Linked DNA regions of Arabidopsis thaliana. The protein of the gene in region 3 interacts with the protein of the main gene of each other region in a pairwise test. Each region holds a gene or a part of one and is shown on either strand. Other genes may lie near its edges.

Region 1 (7,036 bases), on a different chromosome or scaffold from region 3:
AATTAGTTAACCGACTGATTTTCAAATCTTACTTTTTAATTGTTTATGCTAGTCACAATTTAAATGTGGAAACGATGTTAGTTGATTCGCAAAAACAGTTATCAATATCATTGTTAGTTAGTTCATCGGAATATACGTAAATTCGTTGAGTTTTGCCATTTAACGCTTTCTATTTGCTCCCTCCTTTTGTTGTTTTGTAGTATGTACCATATCATAATTCTATGACATAATAGATGACTACCAAATTTTCTCTGCCAGCTTGCTTGTTATGAAATGAAGGAGGAAACAAATGTGAATAGTATCGGATTTGGGAGTTTTACAGAAAACAATTGAATGTTTCAAAGCCATTTTTACCAAACCCGAAGCTGAGATACACGTGACCAACACTGCTCACACACTCTTTTGACCTTTGAGCTTAATCATGGACCACCAATCTTCTCTTTTTTCCAAGTCCACTTAATTTCATTTGCTGACCTCATCTCCATTCTCATTTCCTCCTCCCAAAATATCACAAATCCTTTTGTAACTTGTTATGTCTTTCACTTTAAACACAGAGATCCAAGGAACGCCTCTTTTAATAATCCCTAGATGAGATATAATGTTACTAATACTATAATGGCAAAAATATCACCTTTACTATCACAAAGCATGGAACATTAGAACATAGGAAAAAGGATTTTGATTAGCTTAATCTGTTCTGACTTCGTATAAGATTTTCCACAGATACAAATATTGTTGATCCCTTGCTAACATGTTTCATCTTGAAACTTTGATTCTCTGAGACTCAAGAGTCAAGATTCGTCTTCGCAGGCCTCTGCGGCTGAAATCTCTGAATCAAGTTTGCTCATCAGAGTCTCTGTCACATGCTTGGCAACAGAGATCATGTCAAGGATGACGCTTGGGTCTAAGCCAGACCCGCTTCGTTTGGTTAACCCACATATATGGCCTGTCCGATTCACAGATATAGATACAGCTGAGCTCATCTGAGACTCCTCTTCTGCTGTTGCATCAACTATGTAATGCGTTCCCACCTGCAAAAACCAAGGACAGCATGGTAAAAGATTAGCGAAATGTACATAAGAAGATGTCGATGTGAATCAAGAAAAGTGAGATTCGATTACTTTTGTTAACGTGACTATGACCGGGACACTGGAAGTGTCAAATTGAAGATATTCCTCGTCGCTGATGTCAATCTCTGGTTGCTCATCATCTGCTACTTCAGCTGAAACATTGACTTTTGGGATGGCCGTGTTGGTTAAAGCAGCCTGCAGGAGTATAGTCAACAAGTGCATTAAAGCATGTGATCAGCCTTGAGGAAAGATGACTTTTGGGTTGCTTAAACTATCAATTGGAAACATATCGTAAAGCTACTAAAACCAATAACAAGACAACTACATTGAGCTAATCTATATACACTTAACTAAAGACCCATTCCCTTTCGTTTCCTATATTCTCTGGCCTTTCCTTTCTCATGATTCTGATTGATGGGTATGATTTACTCACTAACATTCGTAACTAAAACCTGAGACTAAGGGTTAAGAGAGAAAACCAAACACACATCACAAGAATTACCTTAATGGCAGCACCCAGGGCATCCAATAGATTCCCATCCGAACTAATGACAAGACCATCAATATAAAGGTCCCAGCAAACTTTTCCTTCTTTGATTAAAAGCGAAGATAAATTTATTCCAGCTCCTGGTACCAAAACATGAATTGCTATAAACGTTACAAACAGAAAGCGTAACAGTGTGCAGGTAAAAAAAAGCATTGCATAAACATGATTGCAGACCTGCTCCACTTTTGCCACCCAGAAGACATCTTTGAAGAGCCAAAGCAAGCTCAGAAGACAATTCCTCACCTCCTCTCCCCTAAGTAACAACATATCACAAAGAATTAGCCGCCTAAAGACTTAACACAGTAGAATTTAGGAGATTCTGAAGAAAAGTAATGATAACCAAAATCTCATGTTGAACAATTCCACTAGTAAGAGAAACACCAATAGAACGATAGAACGGGTGTGACAAGTGCTAGATAGAACCAAAACCAAACGAAATAAAAGAAAAGCTCACCCCAAATGTCGGTTCAGCTGTTGGACTGCAATCAATGAAAACTGCAACCTTTCCTTTATCGGGTTGAAGTGAACTTGGCCTCCCAATTTCAGCCTGCAATTACACAAGATTACTGGGTAACATCTACAATAGCACTTCCCATTCAACAATAGAACAGTAGCAGAGAGAACAAAGGAAGTACCTTTACACTAGCAATCACATCGGTTCCACCAATTCTAACTCTCGCTGAACCATTAGCCTAGAGCCAACAAAAACAAGAGAAAGAACATATCTGTTAAACAACTGGGAAGCAACAATGAGAAGCGGACGAGCTCTAGGAGATTACACTACCTGCGGAATAACACCGGTTTCGACGTAGATAGGACGGTAAGTCAATCTTTTCCGACCATCAGTTCGAAGATCTTGAGCAATCCCACCTTTAATGAAATGTTGTTCCCCAAGAGAAAGCCCCATCACTAATACTACACAGAGAACGAATTAGATCAACTGCTGAGGAATTTCTACCGGAATGACAAACTTCAAGGTTCACGGATTGGTGCTAGGGTTTAAGAGACAGCTCAAACAAAGTACACATCTTTATACAGCACAATCAAAACCCACTAATCTTCTTTACCTTCCCGGAGAATTCAATAGAAGACACAACTCTGAAGTTTTCCGGTGACCCTAGCGGCAACTTTGGATTGGTTAGGTTAAGAGAGAGACGTGACCACTGACAACTGCCGTAGGGTTTAAAGATGGCGTGAACATAATTATTGACACTTGTTAAGGGTAATTTAGTCATTTACCGACTTACCATTTTTTCACTGCTTTTTAGCGTTTTCTCGCTCTTCTGGTTTTTTCTTCAATCTGCCGGGAAGAAGTGCGAGCTTGGTGCCGATGGGTCGTTCGAAACTAGCTTCTCGTCCTGCTGAGGAAGACCTGAATCCAGGGTTCGTTTAAAGTTTCGTTCTTTGTCCATCTTAGCTCGAAGTCTTCTAGGGTTTTCTCTGTTCAATTACTTACTTGTCTTTGCGAAAACATTTCAATATCTGGTAATCCACTTAGCTGTGTTTGATTATCTGAATCGGAGTTCTTTTGGTACTTGTGGGTGGCTCTTGATTTCATACTGCTGTCGTCTCTTGTCTTTATCCTAATTTTGATGATTTTGGCTGTTTCAGAAAATCAAAAAGGAAAAAGATATCATTGGGTCCTGAGAATGCTGCGGCATCAATTTCCACCGGTAGGTTTCCGTTTACTTGTGCAATTAGGTGTGATACTGATAGGACTAAAGTTTCTGCTGTGGATAGATATGCATTGATGTATCATGTACCAAGCTGCGTTTTCCAAAAGTTCTTACATGTACCAATACATTGTAGGAATTGAAGCTGGGAATGAGAGGAAACCTGGCCTTTACTGTTGTAACTATTGCGATAAAGATCTGTCTGGTTTGGTTCGTTTCAAATGTGCTGTTTGTATGGACTTTGATCTTTGTGTGGAATGCTTTTCTGTCGGCGTTGAACTTAATCGTCACAAGAACAGTCACCCATATCGTGTTATGGTTAGTTTCCAACGCCGAGCAGTATATTTGAATTCAATTCAACGCTTTGTCAGCTGAAAAGTAATTAGATTAGTGATTGTGTTTAAAACAAAGAAAATGTTCTATGGTTGTATTTTTGTTTGTATTGAATCTACCCTTTTGTTTGACAGGACAATTTGTCTTTTTCGCTTGTTACTTCTGATTGGAATGCCGATGAAGAGATACTCCTTCTTGAGGTAATCATTAATCGTTTCTGATTGTACACTCCCATGTCTATATAGAGATTCCATCTGACTATTGGGAAGTAAATTGACTGTGTTAGGCCATTGCGACATACGGGTTTGGCAATTGGAAAGAAGTTGCAGACCATGTTGGTAGTAAGACAACGACAGAATGTATTAAACACTTCAATTCTGCTTACATGCAGTCACCATGCTTTCCACTTCCGGTAAGGACTGATGAAAACACATGATCGTCAGATAGTTGAACCTAGCTTGTTTATTTACTCTAGCTCCCCGCTCTGTAGGACTTGTCCCATACTATTGGAAAGAGCAAAGATGAGCTGCTTGCTATGAGTAAAGATAGTGCAGTCAAAACAGGTCAGCTTTAAAATCTATTAGCGGGGTTTCTTGTTGATTTGGGACTCGTATATTAACCTTGACTGAAAAAAGGAGGATGCTGAGCTCTGTTTACTATTTGTCACAGAAATACCTGCATTTGTGAGGCTATCTCCAAAAGAAGAGTTACCTGTGTCAGCTGAAATCAAGTATATACTTATGCTTGTAACAATAGTTTACCTACGTTTACAATGTTGAATGCACCTTTTTAAAAGTACTATTATGTTTCCATGGGCAGACACGAAGCTTCAGGGAAGGTCAATGAAATAGATCCACCTTTGTCTGCCTTAGCTGGAGGTATGTGAAAATGCTTTTATCTATATAAAATTGTAGACATTATTTGCACTTAGATTTATGGCTAAGGACGCAAATCATCCGCATTTCGTACTACGACCCCAAATATTATCTCTTCCATGATTCCATATGTAAAGTAATACTTTTTATTGTACAGTCAAGAAGAAAGGCAATGTACCGCAGGCTAAGGACATCATCAAGTTGGAAGGTTTGTTATATACTGGAACAAGTTTTTATGCAAAGTGATATTTACGCGAACAAAAACTAAAGGTAGTTAACGGCCCTTGTGTCTTAGCTGCAAAACAACAATCTGACAGGAGTGTCGGGGAGAAGAAACTCAGACTTCCTGGAGAGAAAGTTCCATTAGTAACAGAGTTATATGGTTACAATCTAAAGAGGGAAGAATTTGAGATCGAACATGACAACGATGCTGAGCAACTGCTTGCTGACATGGAATTTAAGGATTCTGACACAGATGCTGAGCGTGAGCAGAAACTGCAGGTTCTTCGTATTTACTCGAAAAGGTACACTTATCACAGGAACAACCATTTTTAAACCGGAGAATTTTTTCATAAGCCAATGCTACAAGCCAAGATTGTGCCTTTGTTGGCAGGCTTGATGAGAGGAAGCGGAGGAAGGAATTTGTTCTGGAAAGAAACTTGTTGTACCCTGATCAATATGAGATGAGCCTTTCAGCAGAGGAGAGAAAAATATATAAAAGCTGTAAAGTGTTTGCGCGGTTCCAATCCAAAGAAGAGCACAAGGAACTGATTAAGAAAGTCATTGAAGAGCACCAAATTCTCAGAAGAATCGAGGATCTTCAGGTTTGATGCTTAAAATTTTACCAAGCTTGAGTACTGGATTACAAACTCAATTAGGTGGGAACATTAAGTTGAGCTTTTAATAAATGTTGCAGGAAGCTAGAACTGCTGGTTGCAGGACAACTTCAGACGCAAATAGATTTATAGAAGAGAAGAGAAAGAAGGAAGCTGAAGAAAGTATGCTGCTGCGGCTTAACCACGGTGCACCAGGCAGTATAGCCGGTAAAACACTAAAAAGTCCAAGAGGGTTACCCAGAAATTTGCATCCCTTTGGTTCTGACTCACTGCCAAAGGTCACACCTCCAAGAATATACAGCGGTTTGGACACTTGGGATGTTGATGGTCTCCTTGGAGCTGACTTACTCTCAGAGACCGTAAGAACAATAATTTTCAAACTTGATGTTTGTCATCTTATTTGTGATTTTGTTGATTTGTTGACATTATTCCTATGGTTTGAGAGATTGAAGCTGTTTTTTGTGCAGGAAAAGAAGATGTGCAATGAGACCAGAATACTGCCTGTACACTATTTGAAGATGTTGGATATCTTAACAAGAGAAATAAAGAAGGGGCAGATAAAGAAAAAGTCTGATGCTTATAGCTTCTTCAAAGTAGAGCCGAGTAAAGTAGACAGAGTATATGATATGCTGGTTCATAAGGGAATAGGTGACTCAACATGACTCATAGCTTCATGGTCCTAACATGTACTTCTCGAACATATATTAGCCATGTAAATATAAAGGAAGGTGATGCTGATTTTGGTTACACATCTTGTTCTCTGTTAGTTTCGACAACTTGACAATGTCTGATTGTTATGACCTTCAAAGGCTGTTTCAGATTTTTTGATACAACGTTTAAACTGAATATTGTAATGCCTTCACTCATCTGATTCCTTCAATTTTTGTTATATGAGATCAGAAAGTCTTGAGACATTGCATCAGTTTTCAGGAAAAACCTAAATAAAACCAGATTCTTTGGTTACAAGAAACTACACTGGATCAGATTGCCATCCAACAACAAAGAAAAAAAAAAAAACAGACAGAAATCCAAAAACTTAATCTACATGAAGCCAAAAGCTTTACCATTTCTAAGGTTGCCAACTTTGAGTCTTCTCCCAAGGCTTGAAAACACCATCATGAGAAACATATTTCAAGTAAAAGAAAAAGCCACGCAGCAACTTCAAAGCTCTTGCCTTATCAACACCAACCACAAGCTTGTATTCTTTTTCGAAATCAGGGAAACTTTCTAGATAAGATTGTCCCAGTTCGTCAGTCTCATAATCAGATCCTCTTCCCTTTCGTAGTTCTCTGCATCGAGTCATTTTTTTATGGATTGATACGTAACGATGGAGCTGCTTCATCTCTCCTTCATCATATGGATTTTTCAAAACATCCATTAGCTCCTTTCTAAACCAACTGCTACTACTTTCATTCTCTTTGCTTCCTTCATCAAGATCAACCACTTTCTTGGACGCCACAAACGGTGTACACTCCTCTCCATCCAAAAAAGGGGAATCACCCATCGCAATTATATAATCAGACCAATCATCATGTGGTTCAACCTTCACTTCTACTAGTGGATCCAATTCAGGTACCATTGTCGATTCTTTTAGAGTATCCATATCATCTTTCTGAAGATTTTCCATTGGCTCAGTTGTCGAATCGCTAAGAGAATCTACAAGCCATGTGAGGTACCTCATGTAATCCTTATCCACAACCGC
Region 2 (5,562 bases), on a different chromosome or scaffold from region 3:
AATGCATGGCAAATAATCATTTGAGAATATGATTACCGGTAAAGATAGACTTAAAATATTAGGTAGTTTGGTTATTAAAGATAAACTTAGCTGGAAATGTGTTTGTTTCAATTAGAAATCATAATCTAAACATAAAGAAACTTAGAGTACTTCTATATATGTTTAATTGATGTCCAACAAAGTTATAATTTATCTTAAACCCTTTACCAAAAAAGATTATTTTAAGTTTAGCGTTTATTTAAAATCACTGTAGAAATATACAGTTTTGTTTTACGTTGCATCAACATTTAAAAGAAAAAAAGAAGGAAAATTGGTATATAATTAACAACCAAGTAGAAGTTAGCTATCAGAAAATAAAACAAAATTATCGGCATATAACCAAAATGAAAAGAAGAATGTCACTTACAATAATTAAGTGCGAAAATATAGAAGAGCTACATATATCTGCGTATGTATAGAAACAGCTAGCTAGCATGCAATGTAGCGGGAAAGCGAGTGCATGGACTTCAGTGAGTGTGTCTCATATAATGCCATTTCAACTTTTAACCTAAAAAGCAAAACTCTCTCTTTGTTTCAACCAAAATACAAAACAACCACTTGCGAGAGTCAATAAAGCATCAGACAAACAACTAACCACATACACACCACAGCTTACATATATTGATGTCTTTGTACACATTCCATTGGAAATATCAAATTCTTGAAAAGATTCTTCTTGTTATCATCTCATAAACTTATTTAGTATATATTTATCAAAAATAAAAAATTAATATAAATATTATTGAGTCACCTGTTTTACTAAGAGTTTTAATATAAGTATATAACAGTACAAAAAGTTTTAGATTTCAATGTTTGTTTATATAGAAATATACTAGGTCTACCCCCTTTTCAACGGGAAATGCTATTATTATTTCCTTTTAACTTCTTGCTCTTGTACGTACGTAGGAATTAAGACAGAGATATTATTTTAACAACATCAAATGTGTCTTTATTCAGAAATTTCTCTAAATGAAACATTCCTACATACCAACGATCTAGAGAAATACTTAGATGGCCAAATCAGAAGAGAGTACAACTGATCACTAGTGAATTTGTCAAGAATAAACGCGAAAAAAAGATGAGCTAAACTGAGCATTCATAATTAAGATTACATCGCAAAAATAATCTACATAGGATACATCAAACTCGCAGATTAATAAGGGAATTCTTAAGTAGATTTTGTAGTTTTAGAGACTTATTCCTATTTTTATTTTTATTTTGAATTTCTAGATACCAATTGATTCCTCTGAACCTAAACCAGATCTACATAAGAATTCCACAATTTTCTGCCTCACCTTCATGACTTCATCTCCCTTCAGGATGGAGAGGAAAAAGCTCGAGGGTTACATTGTCAATGATTTTATTAAAAGTAGTTGCCATAGTACTACTATTTTTGTTTCTCCTGTTCTCTATCTCCAAGTTCTCAAATCCCCAGCTCCTACATGTCCTCTTGTACTCATTCTCTTCCACTAACTCCTCCTTCTCCACCATTGGTTCTCTCTACACAATCATAAAAATTATCCTTAAATATAGTTGATCAAAACCACAAAACTATACAAAATCCTTAAATTCCTACCATAATGTCTAGTGACGATGATGTTCTTGTCTTCATAGTTACACTCGGATTAAAGACACCAGTGGTCGTGAAGCTGCTTTGGCAACTTAGGCTGATGAGGTTGTTCCTCTTCTGCTTCTGTCTCTCGCGGGCTTTGTGGTTCTGGAACCAATAGAACACATTTTTCCCTTCGATTTTCCCGTACTTACCGAGTTGCAATGTGATATGCTCAATCTGTTGAGCATTAGGAGTACGCATTCCACCTTTGTACAACATCTCAAGTATCCCTATCTGTTCTTGAGTCGGGTTCCACCTTGTCCCTCCCGGGTGCGTCTCCAACTGAACCCACACATTATTTCATTACATTTGTTAGGAATCATACATTAAAATAAATAAATAAAATTAATAATAAAAGGAACCACTCCAGTCGTTATAATTTATAAATGTCAAAGTATTAGGTATGCCGCAATTATCAAAATTCTTCTAGAGTGAATTCTTCTTCTTTTTTCAAACGAAAGAAACGATGTAAAATGTACGAAGTACAATAATGGAACTGACTTGATGAGGAGGGTCTCGTTTGTGTTCAAATTTTGTCGGACCGGTTTGATCGGGTCTAATGAAGTTTTTAAGGTCAAAAGTGGCTGAAGTGACGCCGGAGGAAGAAGAAGGAGGGGAGGGAGGGCTGCCGGAGAGCTTAGGGGCGAGAGGACGGAGGCGTTTGCAGCTTAGGCTAAGGGATGATGTCGAGTCATGTTGATCCCACGATGAAGAAAACCCATTCGAAAACTCATGAACCTTCATTGCTATATGTTAAAACTAGCAAATGCTATGCATGCCTTTCTCGTTACAAGACTTAAGCTATGTATATATAGAGGAAGATAAGTGTGAAATGATAGTGTTAGTGTATAATGATATCATTGGTGATATCCAGTTGGGTAGGAAAAAGAAAAAGAATGGAAAATGAACAGATGATTTTTACAAAAGTGGGACGTCGGGAAACCAAAGACCAAATGATGGGATATGGTTGACTTTTATCATTTAAAATCTCCTTGTCCTTATTGTAAATATATACACTCAGAAATGTAAAAGCAATAGGTAAAGAACAAATTTGAAACTAATTGAAGACAGTGATCTTTGTTTGAGAAAGTGAAATCTCATTGTGTGAATATAGATATGCGTACGTGTGTCTCTACATACACGTAATACATGCGTACGTGTGATATCTGATATGTTCATGTCTGCATGGAGCACTACTTTAAATTCGGCATAGTAATGTATCAACCAAATTTTAGTTTCATGCTTACGCATGTCATGCGTGAATACCGCATAATTTATCTCTCTTATAAAATTTTCCTCTACTTGTAGTTGTAGTCTATAGTACTATGTCTTGAGATCCTATAATTTAGGCAGAATGTTGAGGGACATGAACCACGCTAAAAATAATATGTTATAGATACGTGATATCAAAAGACTTTACTATTCATTGAGATTGACATTGACCTACGAGCCAATAGGTTTGCTTTTACAGGAAAAAGGTTTGAATTTTTTTTTTTTGGGATCAAATTCTAACAAATGCATGTGATTTATTAGAAAAATCCCAAACCAAAGCTTGACAATCTTTCATTCTACTAGTTGTATAGGGACATAATTTCTCTCTCACCTTTCTTTATTTTAAGAAATTATTTTAGAAATAAAACACTGAAAAAAGTTAGCTTTAATGATAGGATGTCGAATGCTTTTCGGTGGCTCTCAAGTCTCAACTACTTTATTTAGAGAAAAGAAGAATGAGAAGAAGAATGAATAAGGGGAAAAGGTATCTTCCAATCCCAATACTCGAAATTGCTTTTATTACTTTTGTTAAGATACGGATTTTGCCTAAATTAGTGGTAGTTTATAATGAGCCAGGACAGACTTTTATGCGGAAAAGAAAAGGCTAGAAATATCTTAATGTTATATTATCATTGTTTATTTTGATAATAATACATCATTATAAATTTAAGCTTATATGTTTATTAGATATTGATACAAAAGCATGGTTTGGTTTGGCAATGTCAAGCGTCCCATTCACTTTAGATCAGTGTATTGTATTGTTATTCTCTTGTACATCGGGAACTGCAGAACCTCAATTTCCCAAGTAATTTGGGTATTTTACTAATGAAAAGTAGTAACGTATGATATTCCGGAATTACAAAGTTTTTTCTTCTAATTACTTTTGAGTTTTGACTAATATATCATCATCTTTTTATTTGATATGTAGTCTAGAATTACAAAGAACAGAGACCTTGAGTATGAACTGTGAAGAATAGTCAAAATTATTTAGTCTCGGCTAATCCAGTTATGATGCAAGTATATGTACAGTACGAAACTTACACTAATATATATGGATATCAAAGTTATGAAGGTGGAAAGTCACAGTTCATATCACTGGTTAAAACATAAAAATTGATATCATGGAGGAAATATAGAAGTACCAGTGTAGGTTGATCATGACTAATAGCTAAAATTAATAACATCTTTATCCTATGAAGATGGATTTTTTTATAGAAATTTCACATTTTTAAAAAATAATGTATACTGACAATTTTAACCTTTTAATATATTTTAAAAATAATAAAAAATATTTATCTACTTATTTACTTAGGATAAAACAGGTAAACAATTTTAAAATTTATATTAAAAATACAAAATTTGTATCTTTGTGGGACAATTTTTTTCCATAGAAAATTCATCTTTGTTGGACGGAAGGAATATGAAAGCTCAAAGTTCTAAAAAGACTGCTCTATCATTCATCAGATACTGGAAAATGAGTGGAACTTTACTGAACCCAAAGCATAACAAGAAACTGGTAATACCATTCATATTTTTTGAAAAATGTCATCACACGATGGATAACCTGATTCGTGTGTCAAGCTGTGATCAGATGGTTATTTCTTCAATTATCTATGGCCCATACTATATCGTCGATATTCATATGCAGTGACCCTCCTCCACTACACTTGCCTCTACCACTGTTCATATGTATTTTTTTAGGACACATATTTAACATGTTTATTTTTCGATCCATATGTAATACTATGTCGGTAATGACAGATTACTGATGGTTTGAGGTTTAGGGTTTCAAAATTTGAAATAAACTAGCATAACATGTTCACAACCAATCATTGTTGGATCTCTTTTTCTTCCAATTTGTTTACTTCGATCTCCTCCTCATCTTTTTTTTAGCTCTTTAGCTCTTCTTCCTTCCTTTGATTTGTATTGTTTGTTGATGAGATATGTAGCACCCTTCGAAAAATTCGACTTAAATCGAGAATAATTCCATTAATCCAAGTAATTCTGATAAATGGGTAATCGGTCTATGGGAAAAAGCTTAAATAAAACGTCGTTGACCTGCAATAGGGAAATGAAAAGAGTGAGACACATCTAGGTGGATAATCTTGAGGACCCGAAAAAATAGAAAAATAAGAGATTCAAGGCCGAAAAATAAGAAAAGAGAACATATGTTGAATAGAAATCCATTCATATAAATCGACTGATCGAGAACCGAACAAAGGTTTGCCTTAGGTTTTGTTTGTTTTTGAACAAACTCTAACTTCTTATTCAAGGAACATAAACCATTGCAATTGATTGTTTTTTTTATCAAGATTTCAAGAAAAGGAGTTATTTTCTCTTTACTTAAAATTAAATAAGTTGTTTGTGAAACCGTAGTTTCTACGTTTTAATCCGCTCCCAAAACCAAATGAACCAAATGATAAAATGATTAAAACATACAAAATGAGACTCCAAACAACTAAAAGTGGGACATATCATATATTCCTTAGGTCTCATAATAAGTAGTACTCCTTCTATTCCTAGAAAATTGATTTTCTAGAGTTTACACATATATTCCCTCCGTCACACAAAGATGAATTTTCCATTAAAAAAAATTTGTCCTATAAAAATAGAAATTTTATGTTTCCAATGTAAATTTA
Region 3 (5,515 bases):
TCTACGTTTTTCTCACATTCTTCAATCTTCTTGACCTTGTCCCGTTTAATTCCTTCACTAAAATCTTTTCAACCCTCACGTGCTGATGTTGACATGGAATAATTGTTGTTACTTGTCAAATAATAAGAAGAAGAAAAAACAGACTAATGTATGTTCCTCTTTGATTGTTCTGGTTAGGCAAATTACTTGCATATCTCCACATGTACGAATTAGTAATATTCATTCATAAAGTTAGTATGATTTATAGATTCAAAAAAATAAACACAGATCGAGTTTAGTTTAGTCAAATATTTGAATGTTTTCAAGAACAAGAAGAGTTTCTGCAATCAACTGAAATATCATTTTCATGGTCTTGGTTCAAAACCAGCAGTATTACAAACAGTGAGAAAGGTTTTTGGTATTTGTAACAACAATGTATTGTTGCAGTGACTCCAAATTCAAAAATGGAAGTCATGTGCATTCACCAAGTTACGGCAAAAGTAAAAGACTAAACTTATTACTATTTCCGAATAATCCGGAGCGATACCCTAAACAACATTCACCTCAAAAGTTCTAAATAACACGAATAGGCTGATTTTTGTATATATGCTTTTGGCTGACGTTTTTTTTTTGTTCTTTGCTTTAAGACTTCAATTCTTTTAAGCAAAAATTTGGATGGGAAATAAAAAGGATGATGAGGTGGCCTACTTGTATTGAGCGGATAAACATCAGCCAACAAAAATCTTTGTTAAAATAAAAAGTGAAAGACAGAGAGAGAGATGGCCACGTGGACAAACATGGTGGGCGTTTACACGTGGAATATAACAACACTCCGCGTTGCTGATTATTTGATTCCATTTAAATAAAATTAAAAAATACTGATTATTCTTTCTTTTGTTCACAGAAAATTCCTTCATTCACAATTTCTCTTTTAAATAATTAAAGACCACAAATTTTGAACATAAGAATTAGAAAAATTAAAGATCATTCACTAGAGTAGTCGACATTATTATTAATTTAGTATAAATAAATAAGGTGTGAATCCACGTGGGATGACAGGTGGGAGCGAAGTCTAGTGCATGTCATGTAAGATTTTGATTTACTTTCAACACGCTTCATCGCTATTTGGACCACTTCGCTGACTTTTTTTTGTTTTTTTTTTTACTACTGAGTAGTACTAGTATTTCTTACACATATCAGAGCCAAAAATACAACCCCGACGAATCTTTCTTTAGATACAAATAAAAAATATTTACTCCTACAAGTTTCATTCACCGTACGTTTTACTTGTTATATCATTGCAATGACGCGGCTTCTAAATATGTACTACCATATGTGTGTTTGGGAATCTGACAGTTGTATATTGCACTGGATCCAAACCATTTCAGAACAAGAGTACATTTTCTCTGTTCGTACGCATTATTTGTTTTGTGCCGACTGCGAATATAACGATTTCCATTTATTCATATACTAAATATCATACAATCCATAAATGAATAGTCTTCTTTTTTTCTTGGGGGAATTTACAATTCCAATCAAATTAATTTCTTAGCTAATCATAACGGTAGTCTTGTTTTCTGTAACTTAATTCTTCTTCTTTTTTATTTTGATAGGAACGTTAGGTATCTATTATGTAAAACTTGCTAACAACAATTCTCTAATTCTTTGTTTATATCTGATCTCTTCCTCCATGACACGGGGCTAATCTAAACTTCTAAAAGCATATTGATCCAATAGCTTATTTAATATATTTTGTCTGTCAACCATTAGGTTACTTTTGTTACGATGAATTTTTCAAAAGAAAAATACAAGAATTATGGGATGAGGAAAATCTAGTGGGTCAATTGACCATAAAGGCTAAATCGGATTGAAGAATAAAAATCGGATTGTGACTCGTAACTCGTAAGCGTGACGAAATATTAACGCAACATTTATATGTATTGGGACAAATTATTAACGAATAACTACCAAATGCAAAAAATACGAGACAGTTGAGTACTTGAGCTTGGTCACAAAATCATCATCAAGGAAAAACAATAACCATACAGTAAAAATATAGTTCTACAACTTTACAAATTTGAAAGCGTGTTTAGAATGATGCACACAAATAATCAATCTGTCAAAAAAAAACATATTGTTTGATTTTACTCTAAGATTAAGGCGATTGTTTTTACTTAAGATATTCTTAACTGATGCAAGTTACCCCTGTAATTGTTTGAGATTGCTATTTTTAAACTCTAGAATACGAAGAAAAAAAAAGTATGAATTATTTAGTTAGCTGCTTTAAATCTAGAGTTTATCATCCGAAAAAGGGATATCTAAGCTTTATTATTTTTAATGTAATCACGAATTGTGTCCTTTTCACCAAAAGAGTCATTCGTGTTCGTATTTTATTCAACTAAATAATTCTATAAGTTCTAGTATATTCAATAATTATTAAAAAATCTCATCTTAATAATTTTAATTAGAGAAAAGAACAAAAAACTACACTTCTATCGTCCCTCTACGATTTCACACCTTCTTTTCACACATCCTTATAAATTAATTAGATTCTTCTCTTTTCTCTCCTTCCTCTCTGTCTTCTCTTCTTTTTTTCAATGAAACCTCTCTTCATTTATAAGTAACCCAACAAAAAAATAAAATTATCTCCCTCTTATTTCTTCTCTTCACGTCACAAAGACAATTCGATTCCAAATAATGGACCGACGTAACCCTTTCCAACATCACCACCACCACCATCAGCTTCATCATCACTTGATCCAACAGCAACAGCTTCCTCCGCCGCCGCTGAGCACCACGGCGACGATGGATCCCGGCGGAGGAGGAGGAGGTGGGGAGAGAATCCCACAGTGGAGCATAGAGGAGACAAAGGAGCTTTTGGCTATAAGAGAAGAACTTGATCAAACTTTCATGGAGACCAAACGTAATAAGCTTCTTTGGGAAGTCGTGGCTGCTAAGATGGCCGACAAGGGTTTTGTCCGAAGCGCAGAACAATGTAAGAGCAAGTGGAAGAACCTCGTCACTAGATACAAGGTTACCCTTCAACTCTTTAGAATCCTATTGATGATTCTCTCTATATATAGTCCCGATATATACACCTATAAATGTTTAGTATGATCATGATTACAAGTATATACAAACTATAATTATGTGTATCATGTATTTCATCACTAGTTTGTGTGGTTAGACTGATATTATGCATATTGAAATGGAAACCTAGTTTATGGTGTATGTATAGGTGAACTACATTATATATACATCAATTAATGAGCTTAACCTAATCGCCTAGGTTTTTTAGATATTGTCCTGTCATTAATGGTAACGAGCTATAGAATAGAATTTTACGCGTTTATTGGTGAGCTTTCATCATGATATTGTCTATGTTCACATTTTGATCCGTTATACCATAATATCTCTCTTTTTGTTCGTTGATCACATGGTAAGTAAGTAACACAATATGCCATAAAAATATAATTACCGTTATATAACGGGTGCATAAGATTTAATAAGAACCGTTACTGATGAACACATGAAGATAGTTGAAAAAGTCTATACACACATTTATTTAAGGTAAAAGAAACGTGATATAGATGATGAACATGTGTTTTTGTTTTCCTATGATATATGATTTCGAGTTAAGATACTTGGTTAGCTAAAATATTTTGCGTCGGTACTATTACGTGTTTACATATAATTGTTTATATAACATAATGAATATTCATGGGACAGGCGTGTGAGACCACTGAGCCAGATGCTATTAGGCAGCAGTTCCCATTCTACAATGAGATTCAGTCGATTTTTGAAGCAAGAATGCAAAGAATGCTGTGGTCAGAAGCCACAGAACCAAGCACTTCCTCGAAGAGAAAACATCATCAATTTTCATCTGATGATGAAGAAGAAGAAGTTGACGAACCAAATCAAGATATCAACGAGGAATTATTGTCTTTAGTAGAGACACAGAAAAGAGAGACAGAAGTGATTACTACTAGTACTTCGACCAATCCAAGAAAACGTGCAAAAAAAGGAAAAGGCGTTGCGAGTGGTACGAAAGCTGAAACTGCGGGTAATACACTAAAAGATATATTGGAGGAGTTTATGAGGCAAACGGTGAAGATGGAAAAGGAATGGAGAGATGCATGGGAGATGAAGGAGATAGAGAGGGAGAAGAGAGAGAAAGAGTGGCGGAGGAGAATGGCGGAGCTAGAGGAGGAAAGAGCCGCCACAGAAAGGAGGTGGATGGAGAGAGAGGAAGAGAGACGGTTGAGAGAAGAAGCTAGGGCTCAGAAGAGAGATTCTCTCATCGATGCTTTGCTTAATAGGCTTAATAGAGATCATAATGATGATCATCATAATCAAGGTTTCTAAGTTCTCATTATTTGTGTTAAGCATAAGTTAATTAGCTAGTTAATTTGTTAGGCAAATCAATTTAGATAATATATCTAAATTAATGTTTGTTTTATAATATTTATATGAACTATTGAAATTTCCAAAAAGAAAGATAAATGTTCAAATTTTGATATATGTTATCGTGGTATGAAAATGAATTTATCCTTCTAAAAACAAAAAAAATCCTGGTGGAGAAAAATAAACCTTCAATATTAGAGGAAGAAAAATAAATAGAGAGGGAGTAAAACGAGCAGGCAATTACTAAATATAATATAAGGTAACATGTGAATTAACTAAACGATAAGAATAAGAATTAATAAATCATTTAATAGTTTACGTACATGCATAAAACAATTGTATAGATATTAATTAGATATGCTAGTTTGAATTATATTGTTCATAGTTATAGGTGTCCAAAACCAAATTGGTTGAATACTTTTAGCTACTTTATTCTGTTAATAAGAATATTTCATAACGATTAATCAGGCGATAAACAAGAATTAAACAAAAGTCTTTATTCCAAAACTTTCAATTCACATTTGTCCCACATTACTTCACCGCGTTATTTGTGTGATATATAAAACTTATTTTGTTCATAAGTAAATTGTAAAGAAAGAATTTGTTATTTTTATTCTTTTCTTCTCTTGCAAGACAGCTACCAACAGATAAAAATACCGAAAACATGAAACCGTGTTATAACGCGTTCACACTAATATATCCGTTCATTTTAAAAAACACGTATTACTAATACGCCGCGTCAGCTCAATTGTATAGAGCCGTGTGACCAACTCTGTGAGGTCACCAGTTCGAATACAAGGACCTTCAATATTTACCACTTTTTCGTTGGCAAAAAAATAGTTTATGACTAAATGAAATAATTATAATTCGAAACTTAAATAATTTAGAGTGGGAAAATGTTCTTGAATTTTACATGTGAACCCCCCAAAAAAAACACAGAAAAGTACAAAAAAACGTCAAAGAAGTAACGTTAGAAGGAGACCATGATTTGCATGTGAAATAGACATAAAGGAGACAGTACGTATTTCGAAGTTACGGAGCTCTCCAAAATTCAGAAGAAAACCGATTTGACCGTTTTTGGACCCACTACATGTATTTATAATGCATTTGATAATTCGTCATATCGAATTTG

Evidence for each region.
Region 1: the proteins of AT5G01380 (region 3) and ADA2A interact in binary tests that used the Arabidopsis thaliana proteins (3 or more experiments, as listed by UniProt).
Region 2: the proteins of AT5G01380 (region 3) and WOX4 interact in binary tests that used the Arabidopsis thaliana proteins (3 or more experiments, as listed by UniProt).

What each region holds. Positions count from the first base shown.
Region 1 is NC_003074.8:2,468,974-2,476,009, reverse strand, and holds ADA2A (ADA2 2A), read left to right. Parts: upstream 1-2,914; 5' UTR 2,915-2,947; coding exon 2,948-3,000; exon of another isoform or gene 3,001-3,102; intron 3,103-3,228; coding exon 3,229-3,290; intron 3,291-3,373; exon of another isoform or gene 3,374-3,374; coding exon of another isoform or gene 3,375-3,426; coding exon 3,427-3,629; intron 3,630-3,757; coding exon 3,758-3,823; intron 3,824-3,909; coding exon 3,910-4,035; intron 4,036-4,113; coding exon 4,114-4,186; intron 4,187-4,292; coding exon 4,293-4,353; intron 4,354-4,442; coding exon 4,443-4,501; intron 4,502-4,655; coding exon 4,656-4,706; intron 4,707-4,793; coding exon 4,794-5,022; intron 5,023-5,111; coding exon 5,112-5,322; intron 5,323-5,414; coding exon 5,415-5,693; intron 5,694-5,801; coding exon 5,802-5,996; 3' UTR 5,997-6,179; downstream 6,180-7,036. Other genes in the region: AT3G07750 (3'-5'-exoribonuclease family protein), read right to left, coding at 792-1,031, 1,122-1,265, 1,573-1,697, 1,792-1,870, 2,072-2,164, 2,253-2,309, 2,402-2,524; AT3G07730 (uncharacterized protein), read right to left, coding at 6,404-7,036. UniProt on the Arabidopsis thaliana protein: Required for the function of some acidic activation domains, which activate transcription from a distant site. The exact mechanism of action is not yet known.
Region 2 is NC_003070.9:17,235,559-17,241,120, forward strand, and holds WOX4 (WUSCHEL related homeobox 4), read right to left. Parts: upstream 2,628-5,562; 5' UTR 2,396-2,627; coding exon 2,153-2,395; intron 1,934-2,152; coding exon 1,616-1,933; coding exon of another isoform or gene 1,604-1,615; exon of another isoform or gene 1,540-1,603; coding exon 1,345-1,539; 3' UTR 966-1,344; downstream 1-965. UniProt on the Arabidopsis thaliana protein: Promotes differentiation and/or maintenance of the vascular procambium, the initial cells of the developing vasculature.
Region 3 is NC_003076.8:154,613-160,127, reverse strand, and holds AT5G01380 (Homeodomain-like superfamily protein), read left to right. Parts: upstream 1-2,526; 5' UTR 2,527-2,676; coding exon 2,677-3,012; intron 3,013-3,708; coding exon 3,709-4,344; 3' UTR 4,345-4,518; downstream 4,519-5,515. UniProt on the Arabidopsis thaliana protein: Probable transcription factor that binds specifically to the core DNA sequence 5'-GTTAC-3'.